Linked DNA regions of Diceros bicornis minor. The protein of the gene in region 1 binds, or shares a complex with, the protein of each later gene. Links are inferred from orthologs where the notes say so. Each region holds a gene or a part of one and is shown in the gene's direction. Other genes may lie near its edges.

Region 1 (6,859 bases):
ATATTGAAGACACACACACAAATTCATGTATAGATGTGAAAGTATAAGAGATAGATTGGAAGGATACACATCAAATGCATGATAACAGTTATAGCCAGGGAGGATGTTTGGGAAGGGGGATTTATTTTCATTTGTAATGGTTTAATTATTTTTAAATGGATTTTTAAAAGGACAACATATTCATACCATTACCTGTGTAACTTTTAACAAAACGTATATACGTTAAGAAAAGGATTTGAAGTGAAATGACACAATATTAGGTGGTGGGAATATGGATGATTATTTTTTCTTTGTTTTTCAGTATTTTTAAATATCCATATACATCAACATGGATAGATATTTAAAATATATAGTCGGGTAAAAAATAGTCAATTGCAGATCAATACTAAGCATGATAATATTTATGTAAAAACCCACACCAATAAAAACAAAACCTCTATTTTCTATGGATGCATATACCCATGCCAATATATCCATATAAATTCACAGCAAAAGATCCAGAAGGATATATACCAAGCTGATGATAATGGTTACTTCTATTGAGGGAACTTAGGATGGGGGTCAAAGGTAGAAGAGCATTTGTGCGTTGTCTGCAAAGTTTTAATATTTTGCAAAATTTCACGTATTATTTGTGTAACTAAAAATTAAAACATAGTTTTTCAGAAAAACTGCCGAGACCAGCTCCCCTGGTTTGTCCTTGGGATCCCCTGGTGCGGGTTACTTCCAGAATCCATCATTTCTGGGAAGATACATAACCCCCAGTACAGTGGGTTAACCTGAGGTCTCCGAGGTAAACACCCGACTCAGAATACAGACTCTTCAACTGCTCTTCGCTTTAAAACCTATTTGGAACAAGCCTGGGTCTAAATATTGGAGCAAACATTTTTTAAAAAATACATGGCATGTTCTAAATAGTTCTATCAAGATCAAATAAAACATATTAAACAAAGAAACTCCAGGAAAAAAATGCACTGCAAGCGCATGTAATGCCATTAAATAGACGCCTGGAAGACTGCTTCGTCAGCTAGGTAGCGTGGCCGAGCGGTCTAAGGCGCTGGATTAAGGCTCCAGTCTCTTCGGGGGCGTGGGTTCGAATCCCACCGCTGCCAGTGCTAGCTTCTTTTGTCGCTGTTGCCTTGGCACCCGGCTGTTCTCGGCTCTGTTTTGCCGGTGCATGGGCGCCCCCTGCCGGGCCGGGCTGGCGGGCCCCATGAATGGAGCGGCGGAGGGGGCGGACCGCGAGAGCCGGGGCGGCGCATTGTGGGTAAAAGGAAGCGCGAGGGCCGGCGCGGCTCCCCCCACGTGTCCGCCGGAGTTTCTCCAGCAGCAACATGGCCGCTGCCTGAGAGGAGAGCCGGGCCGCCGCCGCCTCTGCAGCCCGCGGGTACCTGGGCCGTTGCCGCCGCCCGCGCGCGCGGGCCCCGCGGAGAGGTGAGTGCCGAGTTGACAGCCCCCGCCCGGGCTTGAGCCGGGCCGCACTCACGAGGTGGGCCCGGGCTGGGCTGCCGAGTAGGCCGGGAGGCCCGCGCCGCGCCGTGCCCAGGGACTGGGGGCCTCCGGGGCCGGGCGGGAAGGATGGGCAGCCTGCCCCAGTAGACCCCGGCCGGCCGCGGGCTCCGACCTGGGCCCGGCCCGGGAGTCGTGGGGGCCGCAGCGGAGGCTGCCGGCGGTCGTGACTCAGGGTCCAGCCGCCGTGCCCCGCCCGGCCCAGATGGGCCTCCTGCAGGAGCACCTGTCCCAAGGCAGCCGGCGTCCAGCTGGCGTGGAGACTTGTGGCGATGGCTGCGTGGTGGGCGTGAGAAGGGGGCCTGCCCACCCGCGAGGGAGGCGAAACCCATTGGACAATGTGGCTCGGGGCCGGCGGCCCGCCCTGATGGGCAGGTGGAGGGTACCCGAGCCTGCCTGGGCCCCCTCCTCGCCGCTGAACCAGATCAGCCTCCGCCCGGCCGGGCCCGGGATTCCTGATTCATTTAATGAAGTCACCATTCAGTGATCATTGGGAGCCAACACTGCCGCGGATACGACCCTAACCATTTGGTCGGAGGAGGGGTCAGTAAGCACGTCAAGTAAAGCAGTCAATAAACAAGGTCGTTCTGTTATGTTAGCTTTAGAATCGTTGGTCTTGGGGGCAGGAAGAGGAGATCTTAGCAGACGCCACGGTTTCTTCATCTGTGAAATGGGGATAGTAGAATTTCCTACCTCATAGGGTTGTGGTGAGGGCTAAATCGGCTAAGACAGGAGAAGCTCCAGCTTGCAGCATTTGATTTCTGGCTAAATCTCATACCCTCTTAGAGTAAAAGAAAATATGTTGCCAAGTAATAACAAATCCTCCCACAGGTTACATTTATCATCGTGGTTAATCCTCACCACAGTCCTCTGGGGGTCGATACTTTTATTATCCCCTTTTTAGGGATGAAAACAGTGAAGGATAACCAGCATCAGACAGTTCCGAGTGGGCCACAGATGGTGGGTAGCAGACAGGGGATTTGAACCTTTGCAGTTCTGCTCTGGAGTCCAGGCTTTTACCCACTATACCATACTGCCTTTTATTAGGAACATGTGCAGCATAGTGGTTAAGAATGAGAATAAGGATCTTTGACGGCTAGACTGGAGAATCTGGCTTGCCATTCTCTAGCACTGTGACCTTGGGCAAGCTACTTACTCTTTGAACTTTAGTTTCCTCGTTTCTTAATTAGGGATGATAAATCTTGATTTATAGGGCTATTGAGAAGATTTAATGAGAATGTATGTGAAATCCATAGAGAAGGATCTGACACTCACTTAAGGGTTAATTAGTTCTTCTTGTCCCCTAGGCCAAGTCTTCCTTTAACAGATGTGGAAACTGAGGTGACCCAGCGAGGGGAAATGCCTTGTCCAAGGGGTACACAGCCAATTAGAAGCCAGGCCTTGAGACCATTTGCCCTGGGGACTTCTCCCCTTAACTCCGTTGTATTTTGTCCTCTCAGACCTCCCTCACTCCCTCCAACAGCTGGAGATCCGTTTGGAGTTGCCTCTGCTTTTCTGATTGACTGACAGGTTAGATTCCTGGGGGCAGCATGGATGCACCCAACTGTGGCATCCCCTGCTCTGGACCCCTCCTTAGCTCCACCTGGTGTCCTTGTCTCCTTTCCATTTGTTGAGCAGCTCCCTGTTGAGGGAAGTTTCCTGTGCCTAGGGCCATGGAGCCGCTGCCACAGAGTAGCCTTGTGGCCACAGGACCCCTGTTGAGGCCAAGGTGGTCATTGCTATCAGAAGAGCTTGGCTCATGGTGGCTGGGAGGCCTGCTCTGGCCTGCGCCACAGCCCCTGTCTGTTCTTAAGTGTCCATGTGGCCCAAACTATGAGGCCCCCGGTCTCTGGATGGGGCTGAGTTAGGCTCACTGTGTTGAGGTTCTGTGACCTCCTGATTTTAGACACTCATTCACTCAGTTATTCTTTGCACTATATTGAGTGTCTGCTTCATGCCAGGCACTGTTCTAGGTATGGGAACATAGTGTGAGTTTGAAAAAAAAAGAGATGATAATCCCCATAACAACTTGATGAAGTAAGAGTAGTTATCTCCACTTTATAGTGAGGAAACTGAAGCACCGAGAGACGCTCACAGAGCTTATTTCTAGTGCAGAAGATAGACCACACATAAGCAAACAGACTAGATAGTTTCAGATTGTGATAAGAACCACGAAGGAAATAAAATCAGGAGATGTGGTAGTGATTGGGAAGGGGTTGTGAGTGGGCGGGGGCTCTTTAAGATGGGGTGATCAAGGAATCTGTCTCCTCCTGGAGGGGGTGGTGGTGATAGCTAATGAAAAGGAGCCAGCCTTGAAAAGACCTGGGGAAAATAGATGTTGTGCAAAGGTCCTGAGGCAGGCTGGGGCTTCGCCTGTTGGAGGCCCAGCAAGTGGCCACCTGGCCAAGTGGATGGTGAGGTAAAGCGGGGCAAGATCATGTAGGGCCTTGGGGCCATGGAAGGGAGTTTGGATTTTATTGTATATGACAGTTGAAAGGTTTTGAGCAGGGGCATGATGTGATTTACTTTTTTACAAGAACAACTCTTGGCTGTTTCTGAAAGGATTGGAGGTGGGAGAGGGGCTGCAGAGAGACTTGTGGTGCAGTACCTTTCAAATTGCAGTTTGAGATTTATTAGTGGGATGTGAAATCAGCTTGGGATTGTAACCAGCATTTTTAATTTTAACGAGCAAGAGTAGAAAACGTCGCTGCATCACATGTAGTAGAGACAGTCATGGCTGTGTGAAACCTTGTTTTAGTTACATAATTGTTGTATGTTCTGGGTTGCTTATGTGAAATGGACTTCTTGCTGTGGGTCTTAGGCTGAAAACTTTGGAAGCCACTGAGTTGGCTGATATTGGGTGGGAGGATGAAGCGAGGTGTTAACCCCTGCCTTAACCCAATCAGATGTACTATCCAGAGGGAGGGGCTCCAGCTCAAGGTACCTCATCCTCCCTGAGCGCCTCCGTGACTGGGAGAGGCCAGCAGAGCACAAGAGCCGGAATGCCTGTCTCTGGGAGAATAGTTGCATCTTGGGAACCTCCCAGGCCGCACCCTCTTAGTACATATGATCTGTTCCCTGGCTCACCTGGAAGGCCCCAGTCTCTCAGTTGTGCACAGAGCCAGCCGTAGAGAAGGTAGGTGCTTGACGTACATCTGTGGTCTTGGCAGGCAGTGCAGAAGGGGTGGGGTCTTGGGCTCTCCCATCCGTCACCTTCTGTCTGGGGCTTAGAAGCCACCTAAAACTGTCCATTTGGGGCTTCTAATTTCACCCAGTCTTCCATCTCCTTACTGTCGCTGTGGCCTGCTTCCCTCTAGTCTGTCTTTTTATCCCCTCCAGATTTTCCTCTACTCAGAATCCTTTGGTAGCTCCCTATTAAATAGCATTCCTGTGATTCATATTTTCAGACAACAAATATGTGGTGAGTGCCTGCTGTGTGCTAGGCACTGGGGGTACAGCAAGGGACCAAATAGATGCTAATCTCTGCCTTCCTGTAGGCACTTCCAACTTAGTGGCAGTGGGGCTGGGGACAGATAATAAACACAGAGCTATAAACGGTCACATGGTGATAGGTGCTATGGAGAAAGCCAGAGCAGGGAAGGGAGTTGGTGGGGCGGGGTGCAGTTTTGAGTTAGTTGGACAGGGAAGGTCTTAGCCATGAGGTGACATTTGAGCAAAAACCGGGAAGAGATGGGCCGGCCCCGTGGCTTAGCGGTTAAGTGCGCGCACACTCTGCTGCTGGTGGCCGGGGTTCGGATCCCGGGCGCGTACCAATGCACCGCTTCTCCGGCCATGCTGAGGCCGCATCCCACATACAGCAACTAGAAGGATGTGCAGCTGTGACATACAAGTATGTACTAGGGCTTTGGGGGGAAAAATAAATAAATAAATAAAATTATTAAAAAAAAAACAAAAAAAAACCAGAAAGAGGAGGAGGGATCCTGAGGTGACCGGAGGGTAGACCAGTTACAGAGGCCCAGAGGTGGGGTGGGAGGGGGGAGGAGAGAAGAGGGAAGGAGGCCCGTGGGAGATGAGGTCTGAGAGGTAAAGGGGCTGGGGTGGGGGTGGGTCGTAAAGACTTTGGCTTTTATTCAGAGTGTGATGGGAGGGAGGCCTTTGAAGATGGAGGAGTGACGTGATCTGAGGTGGCTTTCCAAAGGATCACTGGCTGTGGGGTTGAGCCAAGATCGTAGGGGGCAAGGGTGGAAGCAGGGAGACCAGTTAGGAGGCTGTTGCTGTAATGCAGGTAAGATATGGAGCTGGCTGGTCTGGGGCGGTGGTGGTGAGGGGGCCAGATTCCAGACATCCTCTGAAGAGAGAACTGACGGGATTTGCTGGTGTGGGATGAGAGGAGGAGAAGCATCAAGGATGAGGCCAGCATTTCAGCCTGAGCAGTGTGAGTTTGGAACGTGTATCTGGAGTAAGTGAGGTGATTTCAGGTGGTGGTGCACGGGCAGGGGGCTTAGATGACATTGAATGCCACCCATGGTGAAGGAATATTTAAATATTAAATAGCTCAAATGTTAAGTAGATAAGATAAAAGTCATGATGGTCTTACTCGAAAGTAGAGGTCTGGGGACTGCTGAGATATTAGGGTGCCCAGGCGCCTTTCTAAGGAAGGGTCAGCCCAGCTGAATTAGTTCCCCTCCGCCATGGAGACCTGCAGCCTTCCCTCCTCCAGGTACTTGAGTGCTTCCTGTCACCTGAAATCCCTCCTCCCCTCTGCTCTCGTGGCTTGTCCTAACCCTTCAAGGCCCAGCCCAAACGCCCCGCCTGACCCCTTCCCTTCCCTCTTCTGAACTCCCCTACCTGTACCTGCTGCCTGAAGTCGGATGGCCTGGCTTTGAAGTCCAGCGGGTCCTCTTACTTGCTGTGTGGCTTTGGGTAGGACACGTAAAGTGCCTGCGAGTTCCAGTCTCCTCATTATAAAGTGGGGACAATCAAGCCACTCACAGGGTTGTGTGGGACACATTAGAGAAAAGTATGTAAAGAGGGTCATTTTCAGACACACACACACACGTGCGCATACACGTGCACACACGCACACACACACGCACGCACACACACACGCACACACGTGCACACACGCACACACACACACAGAGGAGAAGCATCTCACTCTGGGTTGGGCTTCAGGTCAGCTTGAAAATCAAATACCAGAGACAGAGACAGCCTGGAAAGCCGTGGGACCATCTGCTCGTCCTCTTGGACGCGGGAGTCTTTAAAGCTTCCCCATGGCCCCCAGTTAGTTCTCAAGCGTTTTCATTGTGGCTGTGGACCCGCCAGCCTCCTTCCTGCCTGGCGGTGAATTCTTCTTTGTGAGTGGTCAGAAAACACTTAAAACCAGTCATTT
Region 2 (7,948 bases), about 17 Mb from region 1:
CACGCTCTGCTCTCAGGTAGGCCTCCAGGGTGTGTCCCTCCCGCTCTCCCGCAGCTGTGGCGGGCACTGACAGGCCACTCTGCACAGGTGCACTGCATGGATGACGTGTGCGGGCTCCTGCCCTTCCTTAACCCCGAGGTGCCCGACCAGTTCTACCGCCTGTGGCTGTCCCTCTTCCTGCACGCTGGGCAAGTGACACCTTGTGGGCCGAGCAGGGATGGGTGGAGTGGACGGTTTCAGGGACCCCAAGAGTGGCTAGCCGGGGGTGGTGGAGGGGCGGCCTTCCCTGCTGAGTGCGCACTCCCCCAACAGAATCCTGCACTGCCTGGTGTCCGTCTGCTTCCAGATGACTGTCCTGCGGGACCTGGAGAAACTGGCAGGCTGGCATCGCATAGCCATCATCTACCTGCTGAGTGGCGTCACCGGTAACCTGGCCAGTGCCATCTTCCTGCCGTACCGGGCAGAGGTAAAGCTGCCCCCAGGGTGGGGAGCCCCGTATGCACCTACTGCCCAGCCTAGGAGCCTCTCCATTGGGCTCCTCAGTCCTGATGTCTCTGGGCCACGAGAACTGGGACGGGGACAAGGTTCTGGGTCTGAAGGGGCCTGCTCAGCCCCACCAGCTCACAGATGCCCACTGCCCCCAGGTGGGCCCAGCCGGCTCGCAGTTCGGCATCCTGGCCTGCCTCTTCGTGGAGCTCTTCCAGAGCTGGCAGATCCTGGCCCGGCCCTGGCGCGCCTTCTTCAAGCTGTTGGCCGTGGTGCTCTTCCTCTTCGCCTTCGGGCTGCTGCCCTGGATCGACAACTTTGCACACATCTCCGGCTTCGTCAGTGGCCTCTTCCTCTCCTTTGCCTTCCTGCCCTACATCAGCTTCGGCAGGTTTGACCTGTACCGCAAGCGCTGCCAGATCATCGTCTTCCAGCTGGTTTTCCTGGGCCTCCTGGCTGGCCTGGTGGTCCTCTTCTATTTCTACCCCGTCCGCTGCGAGTGGTGTGAGTTCCTCACCTGCATCCCCTTCACTGACAAGTTCTGTGAGAAGTACGAGCTGGACGCTCAGCTCCACTGAGCTGGCTGGGGCACTGGGGCCACGTGCTCCAGCAGGCTGGAGCCTCACAGGTCGTGGGCCTCCGCCTGCGCATCGTGGGGGCCTGTTCCTGGACACAGCTCTCTGTGCCTTGGTCACTGCTGTTGAACCTCGCGCACTTCTGGGCATTTATTACACTACTTCCCCTGGTTACCTGCTAACTAGTCTCTTGACGACCACCCCATGTGGCCAATAAATGGACCGGGAGCGTTTTAGCTGCCACTAACGTGACCAAGAGCTGCCTCCTCCTTTCTAGTTTCCGGCTGGGGGTTATGGAGGGAGATCCCACTCACAGTTCCCCAGAACAGGGCACTAAGTGTCAAATACACCTCCCCATAAAGTCCCTCAGCCAGGGGAACCCCCCTTGTGCCGCTTCCTCAAAGTAACTGGCAGGCGACAATGGGACAGGGCCCCGTGGATGCAATTTCCCCACACACCGAGAAGTGCCCCCACCCCAACCCTCCCTGCCCGGCCAGCAGCTCCCACTGCAGTCCCAGGCTGCCTCCCTTTCCAGGAGCCAGTGACAGCCCTGCTGCAGGTGAGCCCTGCACGAGGCCGGGCGGGGGGGGGCCCTCCACAGCTGTGCTCTTGGCCGCGGGCCTGTTTCCCCACAAGCAGCGTCAGAAAGCCCCCACTCTGCTACTTCCTCTTGCTGTCCCAATGCAGGAGCAGGGTCGTGTGGTGTGGGGTGTGGCATCTGAGAGCTCGGGCCTCGCCACCACCGTTCTCCGCCCTGGCTCCCCTCTGTGATGGGGCAGTGCCAGTTCCTCCTGCCCCAGGTACTGTGGCTTTTGGACTTTTTAAACTAAGAAACAAACAGATTTATTCTGTACACAGGGCCAGGCCCACAGCCCTGTGGGATTGGCCACGTGGTCAGGGTGTTTCGGCCCAGGGAGGTCAAGCTCAGGCCATGAGCACTGGCTCACCCGGTCCTAGTCCCGAGAGCCCAGGGTTCATGCTGACAGTTCCAGTTGGGCAGCTGGGGTGAGGCCACTTCGACACTCTTCTGTGAGAAAGGGACAGTGGCTCCAGACTTCTTCCTGCTGGGGAAGAGCTCAGCCACCAGCACACAGAGTCGTCCTTGTCTGGAGGTTCACTTTTGCCTCAGCTTTTTGATGAAGGACACCTCATCCCGATTCCGGATACCATAACTGAAAGAGAAGAAAAGCTGTCAGCTGTCTGATCCACAGAGGGGACGTTTGTGACCCCTCCCCTGAAGCCTGTGAGGGACCAAGAAAGAAGAGGTGGGAAGCATGTGGCATCCAGGAAGGCAAGGAGGTGGTAGTGGCTGTCCTTCCACAGACCCACACTGTACCAGCGGGCAGCCTTTCAACTCCATGGACACCCTTATCTCCCTCCTGCTGGCTCTGCAGCCCTGAACCGCCACTGTGAGAAGCCGAGGCCCCTCACCCCTGCTCTCCCTCTCCTTCTGCTGGCAGGGAGGCCCCGGAAGCTCCCTGCAGGAGGGTGTCAGTCCAGCCAGGGACTCTCCTTGTCTCACACACTCCCCAGGGACTGATTTATGATCCCTCCTTCCTGAGGGGCCCAGGCTTCTGGCCGAGCATGTGGAACTACAGGCAACAGTCCAGATGCCTCCCTGCAGCTCAGGATGTGGCCTGAACTCACTCTCGGAGCTTCTTCCTGTCCTCTGTGAGCTTCTCTCCTGCAGAGATCAGATGGTACGTCCTCCACACGTAGGACCTGCAAGATGGGGACTCAGGTAAGCCGTGAGCAGGGTGAGCTGGACAGCTGGGAGGCCAAAGCTGTGTGTGAGAAAGCCTCCAGGCGCTCGGCTCTGTAGGGACCAGGGCAGCCACAAGGGGGCACTGCTCTCAAAACGCTGTGTGGGGTGCCTGGCAGCCAAACATTCTGCTAATGAAACGGGAGGACTGACAGCACCCAGGTGAGGAGGGGTGGGGCTGCTGACAGCTGCACCATCCACAGCTAGGGAGACCACTTCCAAACACACTGGAAACGCCCCAGGTGTCCCCAAGTGAAGACCCACCCAGCTGCCTGTGCAGTGTGATATGGATGAGGAGCATCTGAGGCAGGACTCCCAGGCCCAGGAGCACCCACCCGCCCAACGGCTCGGGGGGAGCCCATCGCTCCAGTTGGTACACTGTAGTAGAGCCAGGTGGTTAAGAGCGCACATCCGGCAGGTGTGCATGTGGAGGCCCACATCAGCCCCCAGGAGGGCTGCAGGGACCCGCTGCTCCACTCACCAGCTGATGTGCTGAATGCCTCCTTCACGCTCCTGCCTGAGCTGCACGTATCTCTGGATGGCCTTCTTCAGATCCAGCACCGTGGCGTTCTGTACGACAACCACGGCTGCAACCGGGGGACACAAACGGGAAAAGATCCACAGTGGGAACACAGCTACAGCCTCAGATGACAGGAGAGGACTCAGAGGCCCGACTAAGGCTGAAATCCGGGCAGGGTGGGCTTGCGGCTGCTCCAACACCCCCCGGGCATGGCCCTTGCGTTTCCCACTGAGCAGCCCTGCTAACCTCTTGCCCCTGTGAAGCTCAGACGGCGCTGCCCGGAGGGAGGGGGCGGCACTTACGCATGACTTCTCCGTCCATCTTGCACACTCGGACTGTCATTGCTTGGCCGTACTCCAGTGCTATCTGGGAACTGACCTCTTCCAGAGTAACCTGGAAAAGACCAAGGGTGGATGGGGGAGCCCTGGCTCTCTACCGCCCCGAACAACAACCAAGAAAAACAAGCTGACAGTGTCCAAAAAGTGGGGCCACGCTTTACAAATACAAGAAAGGGACAAGGTTCTTACACGTTTCCCCACTTGTCACTCCACTCTCATGTTCCATCCACACTTTCTGTTTAATGCCTAAAGTGGACAGAGGCTCGGGAGGACGCAGCATAGACACAGACCAGGGGAACGAACCAACGTGAGGATCCACCCCGGGATCCTCTACCCAGAGGCTGGACAGTCCAGTATGAGAGCCCTGGATCGCCAGGATCCAGGCCAGGGCCTCGGGACAAGGCTGAGGCAGGTGTGCAGAATTTACCGGGGCGCCAAAAACATGGTAACGATAAACATTTCAGTGCAACTTTCAAGGAAATAGAAGTTAACTTAAAAACCCCATGATGGGCAAAGTGACAAAGACTTAAACGCAGGACGGTGCCAAACCATATTGAAACTTGAGAAGAGAAACCAGTAATACTGGTCTGGTTTTCATTTACAATTTTATTACTTTGTTTACCATCGGCTTTCCTACACTACCTTTGAGTTTTAAAAATGTCGTAGTAAAACATCCCGTCACCTGACCCCATGTATACCGGGTTTTTGGCGCCCCTCTGAATTCTCGCTCGCCCCACCCTGGGCCCGGCCCGGGTTAAGACCCCCCGCTGACGCCCAGAGGCGCCTTCCTGAGGCCTCCGCGCCGCAGCCCCAGCGGCACGTCGGGGGGCTGTCCACGCCCCGCCGCCCGCCCCCCGGCCCGCGCGCACCTGGATCGGGAGGTCGCAGAGCAGCGGGTCCTGCACCACCATGGCAAGACCCTCCTGGAACACGTCCACCGCCTCGGAGTGCGGCAGCGCCTCCTCTTCGTCCTCATCTTCCTCCGGCCCCGCCGCCGCCACCTCCTCCTCCAGGGCGCCCCGCCGCCGCCGCACCCGCCCGCACCGCGGGTCAGCGCGACGGAGGGGCGCGCGCGGGGACCGCAACCACAGCCCAGCCCGCAGCGTCCAGGGACCAGGCGGCCTGCCGCAGTGCTCGCTGGGAGCGCGAAATCGGCGCGTCCATTGGCGGGCCGAGGGGCGGGGCGGCCGCCAGGACCAATGAGAGCTCGAGGCGGGCCTGCGTCGGCGGGGCGCGGCGCGGGCGTCTGCTGGGAGCCGGCGGCTGGGCAGCCGCCATGCTGCTCTTCTGCCCGGGTTGCGGGAACGGGCTGATCGTGGAGGAGGGGCAGCGCTGTCACCGCTTCGCCTGCAATACCTGCCCCTACGTGCACAACGTCACCCGCAAGGTGCGCCCGCCGGCGTCCCCTGCGTCCTCCCTGCTCGCCCCGGGGTACCGTCGGGACCTCCCCCGGGCTCCCCGCGCTGTGTCCGCGGCAACGGCCGCAGTGACCTTGTGACCGTGAGTCGGATCAGGGCCGTCCTGTGCTCCGAGACCCGCGGCGGGTGCCCAGCGCGCCGGGGGGAAAGCTGAGGTTCTCCCGGGACCCCCAGCCTGCTCCTCTGATTTCGCGTCCTAATGCGTCCTCTTGACCCCCAGCGCCGCACGGAGGATCCCCCTCGTGCACGGGCACCGCCGTCAGGGCCTTTGCGCGTGTTTTCTGCCCCGTTCACCCTTCCCCGTGTCTTTAGTTAAATGATTACTTAAAATTGCAATCTCTCTCCGTATTTTATCCTCCTTCCCTGTTTTGTTTTTGCCATAGGCGTCATTGCGTTGTAATATAGTTTATATTTATGGGCGTTGTTTATTAATACTGGGACATAAACGGTAGGAAGGCAGGATTTTTCTGTCTCGTTTCCTCATGTTTTAGTCTGAACAATAGAATGGGACCTAGAATGTTCAGGACGAATGAAGCACAGTGTATTATTTATGCTTGTTATTTTCACTTGACAGTACACCTTTTTAGAAGTAGAGCACGTTGGTGATACCTCATTCTTAATGTTTGCATACCACTCCATGGGTCAGCTGCGAGGTGGAAGTTTAGAGTTTGAAAATATGGCAAGAGTGAACTCTTATGTAACCCTGAAATTTCAAGGATGTCGGGGAAAACTTGGGCAAGAAGCCAAGTGTGACCTGCTCTGAAAGCTCTCTGCCTCGGGGGGCGCTGGGCCACCCGGCCAAGTGGTGCTCTTTGACTTCAGTTGTATTTGTCTCTCTCATCTGGGGTTATCAAGTATCTTAGAGGTGTGGGGGAGGAGGAGGGTCACACCTAAGCCAATGTTTTCTTCCTGCTCTGGTGCTTCATCCAGCCCTGGCAGAGATCTTCTCTGACTGTCTCTTCTCTTGGGATCATCCCAATCGTGGATCCTCTAAATTCCAGTGGAGCGTCCTGCTCTGTGATAGCAGGAACTTTGTTTTCGTTCAGTATCGCTCCAGTCTGTGCTGAAGGAAGGAAGTGTGGGGAGACACTTGAGGTCGATATAGTTTGGTGTCCCAGGTTTGTGCTGTTCACTCACTCAGAGGCTGTTTGTTAGGTAACAAGTCGGAAGTACCCGAAGCTGAAGGAAGTGGATGATGTGCTTGGTGGAGCAGCTGCCTGGGAGAATGTCGACTCTACTGCAGGTGAGAGGGAAAATTTTTCTGTTACTGAGCTTTTTTTAAATATGAGGCTGCTGACTGTGCCACTCCACGTCAGGATCCGTGATATACTTAGATGAAGTGGGCTTCTAAAAATAAAAAGTGTGTTTGTTTTCTTTTTTAATAATTTATTGGTTACACACACAGTCTTGGCACAAGCCTTGAGTCATGCAGGCCTGAGTTAGAGCCTTGGGGTGACCTCGATGGGTGTCCCTTGACTTCTCTGGGGCTAATCTATACTCACAGATTATAAGAGCATAAAGTGAGTTAATACAGTGTTTGGCATATAACGGGTACTCAACAGGTGGTAACTATGATGATAGCAACAATGACAGGAGTAGTAAAAATCAGAGTCTAAGGAAGAAATTTGGTTTTTTTGTTCTAGCATAGATTTTTAAAGAGTTAATACCAGGGAACGTTAAACTGCAGTCTCAGTAAAATAAGTGTTTATCTCAAGTCTTGATTCGTTTCTGTTAGAGACAGATGTGACCAAGGAAGGAAGAGGAGAGCCCTAGATACAACTTGTACTGAGAGGAGAAGAGCTAACTCGTGATTAATGCTGTCTTTTTCCCTCATAGAAGAATATCCAAATCTGCTATGTTAAAAATTTAGGTTTGGCAGAATTTGTCATTAAAAGATGAATTATGTACCTAATATTGAAAATGTTGTTTGAGACTGTTTGAAGTTGTTTACCTCAAGAGCAGGGTCAGGTTCTCAAAGTGAAATCACTTTGAAAGTAAAGGTGTGCCTTGGGGCACTCTGAAAAGGTGTGGATGTGTGGAGGGATCTTGATAAGAACAGTCTGAGAAACTCCTGCCAGAATGGATTCCTAAATACAAGGGGAAGCGGATTGGTCATCTGTCGGGAGCTCCTCTGAGAAGACAAGAGGGCGTGTGCATTGCCCAGGTGAAGGAGATGCACTTATTAGGGGCATCTGCAGGGCATGGATACTGTAATGCATATCGCGCCATAAGTCACCTTTCGTGTTATGTTTCTAACCAGTCTTCAATCAGATTTGAGAAGAAAAGTGGGCCCCAGGGAGGGTAGGAGGAGTGTTTTCAAGGTCACAGTTCTCCTCTATTCTCTCAGTGTGAGAGCATAGTGAGAAGGATACCACTGTTTGTGGCCTTAAATTTTGGTACAAGGTATCCTGGGCAAGGGATGCCAGATGAGCAAGGGGGCGGGGTCTTTGCCCCCTTTCAAGTAACACCTGCTTCTAATAGATCTGTTGGTCACAAGCATCCTTTTTTTTTTTTTTTAATGTGGGTCAATTGTTTGCTTTTCTCGTTGCCAGAGCCATGTCCCAAATGTGAGCATCCTCGTGCCTATTTCATGCAGCTTCAGACCCGCTCTGCAGACGAGCCAATGACCACCTTCTACAAGTGCTGCAATGCTCAGTGTGGACACCGCTGGAGGGACTAGGGCCAAACTGGTCCAGCTGCATCAGTGTCTGCTTACCCTGTTGCAGGGTGGATTCCTATCCAAGAGTGTGAACTGCGTGTCCTGAGGGTCTTTGCTGGTGTGGGGGAAAGCTACCCCTTTCAGGATGGCTGGCCAGGATGTCAGGAGATGCAGCCCGTCTGCCAGGCAG
Region 3 (7,469 bases), on another chromosome or scaffold:
CATAAAATTATTAAAAAAAACAACAATTAAAATTGTTAAAATTAAGAGACATGGAAAAATGCTGAGTTATATTTAAGGACTCTGAAAAACTATAAGAGACACACTAATGAAATGTTGGAGGGGCAAAAGAAACTTTAAGGGAAGAAAATTGAGAAATGAAGAGAGAATCACAAGTGAAATGAGACATGGGACTAACGCGATGGATCCCTGGTACTGGAACAGTCACTAAGTCATACCTGCAGTGTAACAGCATTATGTAGGGCCTATGGAATACCACGGGGCACTGCATGGCAAGATCCTGGGGATAAGACGGAGACATAGTGAATCCACAAACTGCTGCCATGCTAGAAAGGCTTCCCTCCACTCACTCAGTATTTGCCACCCTTACTCTATTAAGAGAGCTGCATACAGAAGAACCTATGGAGAAGACATATGTAAATACAACTCAAAGGATAGAAAAGTTGACTGAAGGGAGGGAGAGAGCCATGAAAATTACGTGGAGGAAGAGTATTCCAGGTAGCAAGTGCAGAGGCCCTCAAGCAGGAGCATGCCAGATTGTTCCAGAAACAGCAAGGGGACCCGTGCAGCTGGAGCAGAGTGAGTGAAGGGAACATGGTAGGAGTCGAGGACGGAGAGTCAGTGAGTGGAGGGACAGATTATGCAGGTCTGTGTAGGCCAGTCTGAAGCCTCTGGCTTTTACTCTGAAATGAGAAGCCCCTGGGAAGTTTAAAGCAGAGACATGACCTGATGTGAAATATGTTAATTATGCTATGTTGAGACTAGACTGAGCGGGCCCAGGTGGAAGCAGGCAGGCCAGTTAGGAGGGTATTATAATATTCACAGCAAAAAATGATGGTGGCCTGGACCAAGGTGGGATGTGAGTGAGAGTGGTGGTGAGAAGTGGTGAGAGTCTGGATACATCTGGAAGAGCTGACATATTAGATGTATCCCATGAGAAAAAGAGAGGAGCCAAGAACAGCTGCAAAATTTTGACCTGAGCACCTAGAGAGATGGCGTTGCTGTTTACTGAGATGGGGAATACTTTGGAGTAGTTTGAGGAGGAAGATCAAAAGTTTAGGTGTAGACCTAGCTTTGAGACGCCTAGCAGACATCCAAGTGGAAGTGTGGGATAGGCAGAGGTACACATCTGGAGTTCAGAGAGGTCCAGACTGAGATAAGCATTGAGTCGTCATCAGCATACAGCACATGGTTTGAAACAAAGAAACTGGAAAAAGGGAAGAGTTCTGAAGACTGAATCCCAGAGCTCTGCAATGTTCAGAGGTCAAGGAGATGAAGAGGAACCAGCAAACAAATGATCTGCAAAGCAATGCAAAAAAAATTAGGACAAATTACTCGTAGAGAACATGTAATAGCTTGAACTTAGGTAGCATTCTCATATAACACATTCCATTTATTCTACTGATACATATTACAAAACGGTTCCTTATTCATTTAGTATTTCCAATGCCCATTAAGAATTCACAGGAACAGGCTTTTGACAGAATCTGTTTATACCTTCTGCAAACTGCATTTAGACCCAAAAACTATATTTGTTCTTAAGAGTTTGATTATTAGTTTCATTATGTTATCAGAAAATAAAGAAACTATTGTCTTTACTATGAAATATGTAAAAATAAAATGCAATAAAACGTTATTAATAACAAATTAAGATCTGCTAGAATCACAGATGTGATTACATGGAGTTCAGCTAGTAATGATTTACAAGTTTCTTTTGAGGCTAGATAAAAGAATGACCACTCTTCGGGAGAAAATGAAGTGGGAGGTACAGGAGCAAAGAAAGAAAGAAAGCAGAAAGGTGCTGAAAGTATATCAGCCTAGTTAGAGGCAAAGCTGGAGAATACTCTTAAAGGGAAATTATAATAATCGTTAGGAAGTAAGCCCCAAAATGTTAAAGGTGGAAGACTTCATTTAAGTCTTCTCTTCTCTTGTCCTTTTGGGGTAAAAAATGCTGTGGAAATCCAATAAGCATTGAGGGAAGGAAACTGGTTAAATAAATTATGGTGCAAGACAACAATGTGGAGTACTGTATAGCCATTAACAGTCATAATTGAGAAGCATACTTGATAACTCAGAAAAATGTTTACAGTATAGTGTTAAGAGAAAACAAGATTATATAACCATATGTAAAATACGTTAATTTTCAAAAATCTACATGCATAGAAAAACAACTTCAAGTATATGCAACAGTTGATGGGATAATAACAGATGATTTTATTTTCTTCTGGGTGATTTTTAAAATTTTCCAGGTTTTCTGTAATGGATAAGTATCTTGTAAAAAAAAAAAAAAACAAAGCGAAAACCTAGGAGCTGCTAAAAGGCTGGTGGACTTCAAAGCCCAGAGAATGAAATCAAAGCAATTTCATCTTTGATCCAAGGGCTGCTCTGTGTAGCTCTATAGGGGACAGGAAGGATTTTTCTTTGGTTAGGTTTGGTTATCATAAAACCAATATGGAGAAAAGAAGTTGAAAAAAGTCTGATCAGAAACCAACATAACAAAATATTAATATATTATTAAATTGGCAAAAACGTTTAAAATTTTAAGAGCCAGTACCCAGAAGGAAGTGGCAAAATATTATACACACACATATATCTTCTTATCTACTACAACCATTCATATCTATTAGTGTTGATGCATGTTAGCACATCTCTTTCTGAAAGCAACTCAGCAATATGGATGAAGAACCATAAAAGTGCATGTTCAGAACAGTACAGCTACTGTGGAAAACAGTTTGGCAGTTTCTTATAAAACTAAGCATACAACCACCATTTGACCCAACAATTGCACTTGCGGGCATTTATTCCAGAGAAATGAAAATTTATGTTTACACAAAAACCTGTATATGTATGTTTATAGCGGCTTCATTAGTAACAGCCCCAAACTGAAAACAACCCAGACGTCCTTCAAGGGTGAACTGATAAACAAACCACGGATATTCAGCAATAAAAGGAACAAACTATGGATACACGCAACAACTTGGATCATCTCCAGGGAATTATGCTGACTGAAAAAAGCAATCCCAAGAAGTCGTATACTGTATGATTCCACTTTTGAATGATTTCCACTTTTGAAATAGGAAAGTATAAAAATGAAGAACAGATTAGTGGTTGCCAGGGGTGAGTGAGAGGGAGGTGTGGCTGTAAAAGGTCATCTAGAGGGATCCTTGTAGTGATGGAAATGTCTTGCTTTTTGACTGTATCAATGTTAATATTCTGGCTGTGATATTGCACTAGAGTTTTGCAATATGTTACTATTGGGAGAAACTGAGTAAAGGGTATTTGGGATCTCTGCATTATTTCTCCCAACTGTGTGTGTATCCATAATAATATCAAAATAAAAAATTTACTTAAAAAAAAAGTATGTCTTCTTTTGTCCAGTTATCACAAATCTGGAAATCTGTCCTAGAAATATAACCCAAAAGAAGAAAAAACGTTAAATGCACCAGATGTTCACTACAACTGGAAAGAAACAATCTAAGTGTCATGACGTAGCCACTCGAGCACTACGCACTCGTTTGATGCAGCGACAAAGAAATGTTATTTGAAAGGACGGAATTCAAAATTGCGGTACAATATGATAGCTCTGTGAAGGGGACTGCAGTATATCACACAAGTTTTAACAGTAGTATTCTATGTGGATGGAATTGTAGCGGAAATGTTTTCCTTCCCTCGAACTTTCCCTCATGTTGTTAACGTGGTTTTCACATGGCTTGGAGGGTGGGGAGACTAACAGTAAAGAACATTCTTTATGTTAAATTACAAATGTCAGAGTCACGATAAAAGTTCTTTAAATTCCTCTCGCAGTAAAGCAAACTTCGTTTTTCTGGTTCCAAGCTTGGACCAAGAGCGCACCAAGGCCTGCAGTCATGAGCCCAGGGCGGGTATCACTGGGCACCCGACGCTGCGCCCACAGCCGACCGCAGGACGCCCCCAAGGGCCCAGGGAAGAGACCCCCAGCGAGGGCGAAGCCGCCGCCCAGAGCTGCGGTGACCACTCCAAGGTCACCATCGAGCCCGCAGCCGCGGCTCGGCCCGGCCCAGTTCCCCCTACTCTGAGTCGGGTCTTGCTCTCCGCCCCCACTTCTCGCCCCACGCGGAGCCGCGACCCCACTGATCTGCGGCTCCGCCGCAGAGAATCCCCGCATTGCGTCGGAGGGGTGGGGGCAAACGCCGCTAGACTCTGAGCTGGTCGCCTCCATCCCCGGCCCCGGGCCCGGGCCAAGCCCTCCGGGGTCTGCACCGTGGCGGAACCTAGACAGCGCCCGCTTCTTTTTTCGCCCTCTCAACCCAGCTTTTCCCGACTCCGGGAAGAACCGGGAAGAGAAGGCAGAGGGGCGCGCGGCGCCGCCGGATAAATACTGTGGCCCGGCCCCGCCCCCCGACCTCACTTCCGCCCGGCGGCAAGATGGCGGCGCTCGGACCCTGCCACGCAGACTTCCGCCTGGCGCCGGGGCCGAGGTCCGGCTGCGGGCCGCGTTGGAGGTGAAGTCTGGGCGCGCGTGGTGCGGACCGCAGCCCGGGTGCGTCCCTGCTGCTTTCTGGCCGGGGGCCTGGGGAGAGCGAGCCAAGCGCTCTGGCCGGGGAGGTCCGAGGAGTCTCGCCACGTGGGAGGGGAGGAGCAGGGACGCTGCGGGAGGGACGCACTGACGGGGGGCGGGAGGCGATGTGGGTGCGGTTCCGCCCTGGGTCCGCGTGGCCGCCCCCTCGAGTGACTCCATGGCCCCTTTCCCCCCTCTCTTCCAGGCAAGATGTCAGAAGGAAACGCCGCGGGCGAGCCCAGCGCTCCGGGAGGGCCGCGACCCCTCCTCTCGGGGGCCCGGGGGCTTATCGGGCGGCGGCCGGCGCCTCCCCTCAGCCCGGGCCGCCTTCCCTCCATCCGCTCCAGGGACCTCACCCTCGGGGGAGTCAAAAAGGTACCCGACGGCACCTTTCAAAAGAAACCCGACTACCTTGAGTTCCAGGCCCCCGGGGTCCAAATAATGTTCATGGACTTTCATGGAGGGCCTACCGCGTGCCAGGCGTGGTGTTGGGCCCCACGAATCTCGTCGCCAGATGCCGCCTACAAATTCTGGGAGCCTGACCTACCTTTAAGTTTAGATACTGGGTACAAGATGTTGACATGGTTCTCGGAGATGGCTGAAGGGCAGAGAATCCTAATTAGTTTAAAAGCAACATGAGCAGTCTTTATTTACTTTTTGTGTGTGTTTTGGACACCATTAAAACCTATGTAAGCCTCGGTGGCATAATACATTTTGCCTGCAGATTTAGAGAGTTCTGAATTCGCTATGGATCCCAGTGTGCCAACCGCTGTCCTAGAGTATGGTGATTCCTAGGCGTGGCATTAGAGGCTCTGTGTCTTCTCCTGTTATGTTGACGACTGTAGATGTAAAGGGTGGCCCTGAAAGGGGGTAGGGAATGACAGAAGTGTAGCTCAGCCAGTTTTGAAAGGCTTAACTCTGCCTTGGGGAATTCTGGTGGCAGTCTAACCCTGTCTGCGGGTGCTGGCAGATCTGTCTTCCCTACTTGAGCCTTGCTGCTAGAGATCTTTGCCTATGATACTGACTGGTCTCTATAGCAGTTTGAAAACAGGAGGTGAGACTAGATAAGTTACTTTGCTTTTAGAAGTCCTGAGGGCTCTCCTTTCAGAGGACAGAAGCTGAGGCTGTTAGTTTAAATGGGTTTTGGTGCCCCTTGCTTCTGTGTGTAACTCCATTGCCACCATGACATGACGTTCCTCCTTTTCAAGCACATGTCTATCTCTGTAAATCTTTGGCAACGGTGTGGAATGTGCAGAAGAGAGCCATGGTGGTCTTGGTCCATAGAAGATGCCTTTGGGAGTTTTTCTTTTCCTCTATACTTTGAAATCAGAACTTACCAAATCAGTGATTCCTGTATTTTACTTTCAGAAAACCTTCACCCCGAATATCATCAGTCGGAAGATCAAGGAGGAGTAAGTAGCCAGGTCTTCTGAATACTCACCCTTTATTTACTTGCTCTGAATTTGGGCCTTTGGGGAAATAACTAGGTATGTGCCTCAGAAATTTAAATTTGTGTATTTAGTTCTTATCACTAGTGATTTTCAACCTAGGCTACCAGATAATTCTAATGTGCAAGCTTTACAAAAATACTGATGCCTGGGAGTCCATCCCTATAAATTGTGATTTAACTTAGTTGCAATGAGACAAAGTGAATATCTTTTACAGCCAGAGTTGAGAACCACTAGTTTAGACAAAGGTGTATCATGTTTTCCCTTAAGTTCTTTTGCATCACAGCCTTCCTGCTTTCAGTCAATACCAAAAAATCCGCATTTGGGGACAGTCTCTATAATTCAACTTTTGAGTTATAGTTCTAATATGTATTCTCAAACAAGAAGGTAAAGTAAAGCAAACTGAAAGAGATCTGCCCCATCAAGGAAGTGAAACAGGTGCTAGATTTAGGATTGGATTCTGCTTCTCATGATGTAGTTATTGGGGCATAAACTCTCCACTCAAGTGCAGTGGTGTGGGAGAGTAAAACCACTTCTCTGAGGCAGGGTAACTGAGTGGTTTTTCTTAATCCATTCTCTTTTCCAGGCCCAAGGAAGAAGTAACCATCAAGAAGGAGAAGCGTGAAAGAGAGAGAGACCGACAGCGAGAGGGGCATGGCCGGGGCCGGGGGCGCCCAGAAGTGATCCAGTCCCACTCTATCTTTGAGCAGGGCCCAGCTGAAATGATGAAGAAAAAGGGTACAAAGCTGCCAGGGCTCTGGGAGGAAGGAATGGTGGATTTCAGTTCAGACTGTCCAAGAAAAGGGCAAGGGCAGAATTCCCCTGCTCCCAGTTTAGTTTTCCTTGCTGTTGGCCTCTTCCTTACCCCTGGTGAACTGGGTGATCTCCCACAGGGAACTGGGATAAGACAGTGGATGTGTCGGACATGGGGCCCTCTCATATCATCAACATCAAAAAAGAGAAGAGGGAGACGGATGAAGAAACAAAACAGATCTTGCGCATGCTGGAGAAGGATGATGTAGGTACCAGCAGGCTGGGGGGAGGGGGCTTCTTTGTGGCTGTGAAAAAGGGCTTCAGGGAGCCAGGGTCGCAGGAGGAAGAGCTCTCTGATGTCCTGGAAGCCTGGTAAGCAGCAGGAAGCTTCGGTTAGAAAGGGCTAAGATGCGGGCCAGCCCGGTGTGCAGCAGTTAAGTGCGTGCGCTTTGCTTTGGCAGCCCTAGGGTTCACAGGTTCGGATCCCAGGTGCACACCGATGCACCGCTTGTCAAGCCATGCTGTGGCAGCGTCACATATAAAGTAGAGGAAGATGGGCACGGATGTTAGCCCAGGGCCAATCTTCCTCGGCAAAAAGAGGAGGATTGGCATTAGATGTCAGCTCAGGGCTGATCTTCCTCACGCACAAAAAAAGGGCTAAGGTGGACTGCAATCCAGGTACATGTGCATGCTGGCCAGGCTGTGTGACCCCT
Region 4 (6,878 bases), on another chromosome or scaffold:
CAGTAAAAAACAAAAAAACAGGGGTCGGCCCAGTGGCGCAAGCGGTTAAGTGCGCGCGCTCCGCTGCGGCGGCCCGGGGTTCGCTGGTTCGGATCCCGGGCGCACACCGACACACTGCTTGGCAAGCCATGCTGTGGCGGCGTCCCATATAAAGTGGAGGAAGATGGGCACAGATGTTAGCCCAGGGCCGTCTTCCTCAGCAAAAAAGAGGAGGATTGGCGGATGTTAGCACAGGGCTGATCTCCTCACACACACACACACAAAAAAACAATGTCTTGTAGTTTTAACTCATATTTCTTGCATTTTGAGTAAGAGTCATTCAATCACTCAACAAATATTTACTGAATACCTATTATGTGCCAGACATTGTTCTAGGCACTGGGAATATTCCAGTGACCAAAGTCCCTGCTCTCACGTAGCCTCCGTTTTAGGAAGAACACACAAACAGTATACAAACAAATAAGTATATACATTCTGTCAAGTGGTGATTGAATGCAATGGAGTAAATAAAGTGGGAGAGAAGGTCTGCTCAGGAAGCACGTACAGGGGTGGGTAGAAGCACATTCTCATATGTTTAAAAAACATTCATATTTCCTCTCCTATAAAATGGCCTTTCACATCCTTTGCCATTTTTCTATTGGGTTATTACTCTTTTTGTTATTGAATTGTAGAACCTCTTTATTTACTAAACAATTTAAATATTAGAGAATTTGGATACCATATCATTTATATCATCATTTGTCAATAATCACCCAATTTCTTCTAAGAGTTATGGCCACATTTATTAAAATTAGTATTTTGGCTTGAAAATTTTTAAAAATATTAGCTTTTAAGATAAAGGGAAATATAGCATAACGTAACATATTCTTAGTTGGAACTCTCAGTCTAGGAAGTACAGACACCACCATAAATATAGATAAATAGTTTTTACACATATCAGTTATTGAAATATTTAATTGGAATCTCAAAGGTTTTTAAACAAGTATTTGTTCATATGTTTTATCTATAAAACTTTCCCTTCTCCTTATGTTAATTATATGTTTTTTTTGGGCCGGCCCCATGGCTTAGCGGTTAAGTGCACACACTCCGCTGCCGGCGGCCCGGGTTCGGATCCCGGGCGCGCACCGACGCACCGCTTCTCCGGCCGTGCTGAGGCCACGTCCCACATACAGCAACTAGAAGGATGTGCAACTATGACGTACAACTATCTACTGGGGCTTCAGGGAAAAAAAAATAAATAAATAAAATTTAAAAAAAAATTATATGTTTTTGTATACATACGTATGTAGATATATATATATATGAATGTGTATACATATATATATATTCCAGCATTACCAGGAAATACAGTCACTGCTTTATTTCTGTAATAATAGTTAAGATTTGTTTTGGCATTACTATGTGCCAGACCCTGTGCATCTCACATAAAATATCAACTCATTCAATCCTTACAATGGTTCTAAATGGTAGATATTATTATTACTGTCTAACAATGAGGAAACTGAGACTCAGAAAGGCTAAGTATTGAAGGTCACTAGAAGTTCTCAAAGCCAGGATTCAATCTCAACCTGTCTGACTGGAAAGCCTTTGTTTCTAAGTCAAATTTACTATCCCAGCAAAATAAGAAGAATCCTGGGAAAGTTTGGGGAAGCACGGGGACATCTTACCTTGGCTAACGTGAGTCAAGGCACTGCTGCAACTATATACCTATACAAATGAAACACTGGTCAAAGCTAACCTCTGTAATCTAAATACACACCATTCTATCAACCACCAGGTACAACACTGTTTCAAGTTTTGGAAGTTTTACAAACTTCCTAAGGTCCTGACCATAGAAAGCACGCAAAGAGGTAAATCAACAACCAGATGAACATAAAGAGTACAGTAAAATTATTTTAAAGGATTTCAAGTACATTTGATTCTTACCCGATTTCATTTCCAAAAGTGTATTGTTATCAATTTCATGGTTGGCTTTTCCAGGCTGAGGCACTCGCAGTGGTATGATCTGAGGGACACACACTGAACCAGCAGTCATTTTCCCTCCTTACATTAAAAAAAAGTGGATGAAAATAAATTCCAATGGGCACCTATATTTGAACACAAAAGCTGAAGAGAAGCACCTCATTTAAATACAGTAAAACTAGCAAAAACTAAAAAGAATACTGTTAATACACCACCTACAAATATTATTCAATTTTTAATTGAAATAATTGTTTCAGGTCTTGTGTGGGGTTTTGATTCTCTAAATACTTGCCTCACTTCTGGGAAAAGAGTACGAATAAACGGGATGGGGAAACGGAATTATCTTAAATGGGAAATTAAATGAATGTGTCAGAACAGAGACCATCACTAACGATGTGATCTGAGCTCCCTCTGGATCATTATCACCCTTTCCTGCCTCTTATTAGTGTGCCACCTCTCTTGGCTTCAGGGCAAGTCATCACACAAGAGGAACAGAAGTAACTCTGTATGTAGCATTAAACGTTAATTTAGAGCCAACTCCTTTGGGAAAGCTCCAAGTTCAAGGCCCTGCAGCTGTGGCCAAGTGGTTCTTGCATTTCAAAGCTGCAAAGAAACTCTAGAGGGATGGCCGAGTATTATGCCTCAGCTGACAGCAAGTTGGCGTCGATATAAACAGTGAGCAACAAACACAAAAGTCTCTCACTCCATTTTTGTATTTATAAATAATTAAGTACGGGTATGGAGGCCTTATTGATCTTTCTCCTGGGGATAGGGGGCGGGGGGGGGGGGGGGTGAGGTCATAATTTTTAATACATAAAGGATTCAGGGGGAAAAAAGCGACCCTCACCTTAATACAGCAACCATTTACATCTCTGTATGGCCTTTTCAAATTTCAATGATTATGGATGTGTAGGTTTTACTCAGTTGTACTCTAAATATTCATTCAACTTTTCTTAGTGTACTTCTTGCACCTCACTCTATCATTTATAATTTTCCACGTATTTACTTATCAATTTGTGGTTGGGGACTTAGGCTATTACTAGTTTCTTTTTAGTTTTGGCTGTTGCAATTCTAAATAATGCTGCTCTGAACATCTTGGGATTTGAACTTTGTCACAGACTGTATTCCCAAAAGTAGGATAACTAAATTTAAGGAGTGAACTTAATGCCTGGTTGAATAGTTTCAGACAGGAGGCCAAGAATTTCAACTGCAGATACTGATAGTAGAGTAATAGCTCCTACAGAACGGGGGCTGGGCTCAAGGGGTGCCCTTCCTCATTCTTCCATTTAAGTGAGAGGCAGTTAAAATAAAAATAGTTGAAAAATTAGTTCAAACTAAAAATAGTTGAGGAATAAATAATTCGCGCGGCCACTAGGAGCTGCCCTTCGGAGGCTTCTGCGGTCAGTGGCCCCAAGCGACGGGGATCAAGAAGTAGGCGGATCGGCTACGCCCAAACGACAGAGTGGGATCAACAGCACCGCCCACGTCTCAACTCCCTCCATCCAGACTACCCCTCACCGCCGGGATCCGGAACCCCGTGTCGTTCCCGTCCCCGCCCACCAGGGGCAGCTAGGGACGCCCGTTCCCTTTCGGCTGGACTAAAGGAGGCCCTCCTCCTCTTCCTCCGCCGGCCACCAGAACCCGGATAGGGACCCCCGGGGTACCTCCGGCGCCCGCAGGTAGGGAACGCACCTCTCACCGCCTCTGGCCTTTTCCTGCATCGCAGTCCGGGTTACCACAGACGCTGCGAGCCGCGCCCCGCCCACTGCGGGGCAGGTGATTGGTGGAAACCCGCTTCCTAGCAACCAGCTCCGCCCCTGCCGCTTGGCCAGGGCTCCTTTCCTAAGGCTTCACCGTAGGCATCCGGGAATATGCCTTCACAGAGGCTGGAGAGTGCTTAGAGGTGGAGTCCCAACTCAGAATGGGAAAGCCATGCTCGTTCATCTGAAAAGCACTGACATTGTGGAAAACAAGAAAAAGATGTTAGCGGCGCGGGCAAGGGAGGCGAAGCAGGCGCGGCTTGGCCACCTCAAGCCGACAGACAAGGAAGGACCGGCTGCGACACGAGGAAGAAGGCCCGTTGCCCGGGCCGGGTGCTGTCTTCGCTGGTTCCCGGGTTCTCCCGCTGGCTCTCCGACCGCTCCCTGCCTCTCCTCCCCCAGGGACCGGGAACTGCGCCCTCATGGCTGAGGTGAAGGTGAAGGTGCAGCCGCCCGACGCGGATCCGGTGGAAATAGAAAACAGGTAAACCACTGAGTGAGGCTCGGTTCCCGGCTCGGGAGCCCCCGCAGCCGGACCCATTCTCTTGGGAGCCTGGGTAGATACCAGAGCAAGTTCCGTGAGCGCGCAGGAGAGGGAGTGCGGGATTTGCCGCCCACCTCCACCCTCAGAGAGCAGAACTCTTAAGAAGTTCGAAACGGATTTGACGGTTTGCAACCTTGTGTAGCTGACCTTGCCCCGAGGCTGTTCGAAAAGTTGTGGTGATGCACTTCCTTCCTACATTAAGGTGATGGACGCTCAGAGAGGACTTGGCGTTTTTTCTGTAGTACCTGTGGATACGTGTTCTGATCCAGGATCGGTCTTGTAGCTAAGGGAACTCCCACGACAGAACGTTTGAGCAAAGTTAGGGTGCAGTTTGCGATTACGAAGCATCATAAGCCAAATGGTTTCGATGCAGTATTTAAGTCAAGATTTTAGGGCACCTAAAGGCTCTCCCAATTTTATATGCTCTATCCGTGTACTGCAATTTTTACGTTACTACATAGTTTTAGAAGACCCCAACTTTCTCAAACTGTTAGGAATAAGACATATGATGATCTTATGACAAGGTGAAGATTCGGGCTTATTTTTGTTTGGTAGGGATAATTCCGAAAACAGGCCCCAACTGTGATGAATTGTCGTAACAAATCTTGGGCTTCCCATCAGAAGTGTCTGATTCGCCTCCTGCTTACAGACTTACGGTTATCCAAGGCACTGTGTCTTAACTTTGTCATACTTGCTCCTTCTGAGAAAATTGAAGCCTCGGTTTTAATATTTTTTTCTGTTTTCATTTGACTTTGTTCTAATTTGAAGTTCCTATGGGTGAGGAAAAGAAATAGTTTCCTTAAATAACAATAATAATGTAAATGTGTATTTTGAAAGCATCTTCCTCAATTTCTAATATGCTTTGATTCAGAACCATCATAGAAACCCAGATTATCTGCCAAATGTGAAGAAAAGGCACAATTTCAAACTGTTTTGCTTGTATTTTTCTCCCACTGCCTCTTGAAATAGGTGAAAACATGAATAATATCATTAATGCCTTTGTTCTTAGAATTATAGAATTATGTCAGCAGTTCCCTCACGGAATCACAGACCAAGTAATTCAGAATGAAATGCCTCACATAGAAGCCCAGCAACGGGCAGTGGCCATCAATAGACTGTTGTCCATGGTAAGGTGAATCCAACTAGTTCACGTAATTATTTATATGTTATGATTGTCATTACTTCTATTATATAGTCATGAAACCATTCAAAAGTGTGTTAGGTTGTGACTTTGATAAGACTGCAAACTGGGAAACAGCTCAGATTGCCTAAACTGAGGAAAGAAGAAATAATTACACATCGTTTTACAAGATGAATGAAATAAATGTATTTTGCTTTAACTGATGTATTTATTAATCTGTCATTAAGAAACATAAGGACACATAAGCATAGTCTGTTCTTACCTTGTTTGCTTCCTACTGCTAGTGTTGGGCCATTCCCCATGAAATATTACCCTCCTGATTTTTCTGACAGTCATCACAGAGCCAGTTCATTAGGATATTACTCTCCACATTCTCACTCTGAGCATTTCAGGAGGCAAGAATGAGTCTGGTTGAATGTCAACAGTGCTGGGCCTCTGGGAGGAGGTGGGCTCAGCTCCCAGTGACACTGCATTGGGGTTTTTCAGTGACGCCCTCTACCTGCTCTTACCTCTTCTGCTCTCCTGGGGCCCTAATGTCATTCTCCTTCAACTGTCCAAACACATACCACCTATTGGTACTCCGTGCGCTAGATCTACCTATTTCTCTTTCCTTTCCCTCATCATCAAAATCCCCACATTCTGAGAGCATTTCAGTCTGGTTGTAGTAGCGATTAGGTAAAGGACCAAGGACTCATCTGAAGACTGATTTGCTTTTTAAGCTTTGTTGGATTTCTAAGGGCTCTGATATGGAGATTTGAGGACAGGTGAACCTTCTGTTAAACCACTCCCTTTAAGCTTCTAGCACAGAGGTTGGCAAACTTTTTCTATAAAGTGCCAGATAGTACATTTTTTCGGGTTTACCGACCATATGGTTTCTGTCACAACTACTCAACTTGGCAAGAAGTAGCTGTGGACCACACGTAAACACATGGGCATGGCTGTTTTCCAGTAAAACCTGATTTACAAAAACACAGGGGGCTAGGTTGCCGACCTGTGTTTTAGCCCAAGGGAAAAAGGAATGTTGGTGATTTCTAGTCAGTTCACTGTGGTGAAGGTCTTCAGCTCCAGGAAGGGTAGAGGGAGGGATACTGGAAGGATGTAGCAATGGAAGATGTTTTTTGTCTTCGGACCGCCCTTTCAGCCCTTTCCTTTCTGTCAAAATGATCCTCGGCACCTCCCTCTTTCACCACCTCTGCAGCCCCGCCTTCTGCCAGTCCTGTTGGCTGTAGGAAGTGGTGGAGCTGTTGAAGAATTTTAAGCAAGAAGTAATTGTTAATAAATCACAAAGTGTTGCTGATTTTAGCTCTTAAACAATTGTCAAATTTGTCCCCACCCCCCCATTTCGATTCCTGTTGCCCTTGCATGTATTCAGACTCTTGGCTTTTACCTGGCCTATTACAGTGCATCCTAACTGACTTTCCTGGCTCCGTCTGCCTCAGAGCAGCCATCCTGTCTTAAATACAGATCTGAG

The links.
Region 2: POLR3E (region 1) and POLR3K share a complex: the UniProt entries of both Homo sapiens proteins name them as parts of the RNA polymerase III complex. The link is inferred for Diceros bicornis minor from reciprocal best matches to the Homo sapiens genes POLR3E and POLR3K.
Region 3: POLR3E (region 1) and POLR3D share a complex: the UniProt entries of both Homo sapiens proteins name them as parts of the RNA polymerase III complex. The link is inferred for Diceros bicornis minor from reciprocal best matches to the Homo sapiens genes POLR3E and POLR3D.
Region 4: POLR3E (region 1) and POLR3F share a complex: the UniProt entries of both Homo sapiens proteins name them as parts of the RNA polymerase III complex. The link is inferred for Diceros bicornis minor from reciprocal best matches to the Homo sapiens genes POLR3E and POLR3F.

Annotation. Positions count from the first base shown.
Region 1 is NC_080765.1:31,057,313-31,064,171, forward strand, and holds the start of POLR3E (DNA-directed RNA polymerase III subunit RPC5), read left to right. Parts: upstream 1-3,838; 5' UTR 3,839-4,572; coding exon 4,573-4,642; intron 4,643-6,859. UniProt on the Homo sapiens protein: DNA-dependent RNA polymerase catalyzes the transcription of DNA into RNA using the four ribonucleoside triphosphates as substrates.
Region 2 is NC_080765.1:48,215,263-48,223,210, forward strand, and holds the start of POLR3K (DNA-directed RNA polymerase III subunit RPC10), read left to right. Parts: upstream 1-4,942; 5' UTR 4,943-4,957; coding exon 4,958-5,068; intron 5,069-6,254; coding exon 6,255-6,342; intron 6,343-7,651; coding exon 7,652-7,779; 3' UTR 7,780-7,948. Other genes in the region: RHBDF1 (inactive rhomboid protein 1), read left to right, coding at 1-16, 88-188, 313-466, 645-1,064; SNRNP25 (U11/U12 small nuclear ribonucleoprotein 25 kDa protein), read right to left, coding at 2,176-2,233, 2,709-2,783, 3,305-3,410, 3,646-3,736, 4,551-4,592. UniProt on the Homo sapiens protein: Core component of RNA polymerase III (Pol III) which synthesizes small non-coding RNAs using the four ribonucleoside triphosphates as substrates. Can mediate Pol I proofreading of the nascent RNA transcript.
Region 3 is NC_080750.1:71,627,146-71,634,614, reverse strand, and holds the start of POLR3D (DNA-directed RNA polymerase III subunit RPC4), read left to right. Parts: upstream 1-4,448; 5' UTR 4,449-4,537; intron 4,538-4,760; 5' UTR 4,761-4,765; coding exon 4,766-4,930; intron 4,931-5,923; coding exon 5,924-5,967; intron 5,968-6,589; coding exon 6,590-6,741; intron 6,742-6,896; coding exon 6,897-7,021; intron 7,022-7,469. UniProt on the Homo sapiens protein: DNA-dependent RNA polymerase catalyzes the transcription of DNA into RNA using the four ribonucleoside triphosphates as substrates.
Region 4 is NC_080758.1:45,144,216-45,151,093, forward strand, and holds the start of POLR3F (DNA-directed RNA polymerase III subunit RPC6), read left to right. Parts: upstream 1-3,868; 5' UTR 3,869-4,144; coding exon 4,145-4,206; intron 4,207-5,275; coding exon 5,276-5,393; intron 5,394-6,878. Other genes in the region: DZANK1 (double zinc ribbon and ankyrin repeat-containing protein 1), read right to left, coding at 1,927-2,035. UniProt on the Homo sapiens protein: DNA-dependent RNA polymerase catalyzes the transcription of DNA into RNA using the four ribonucleoside triphosphates as substrates.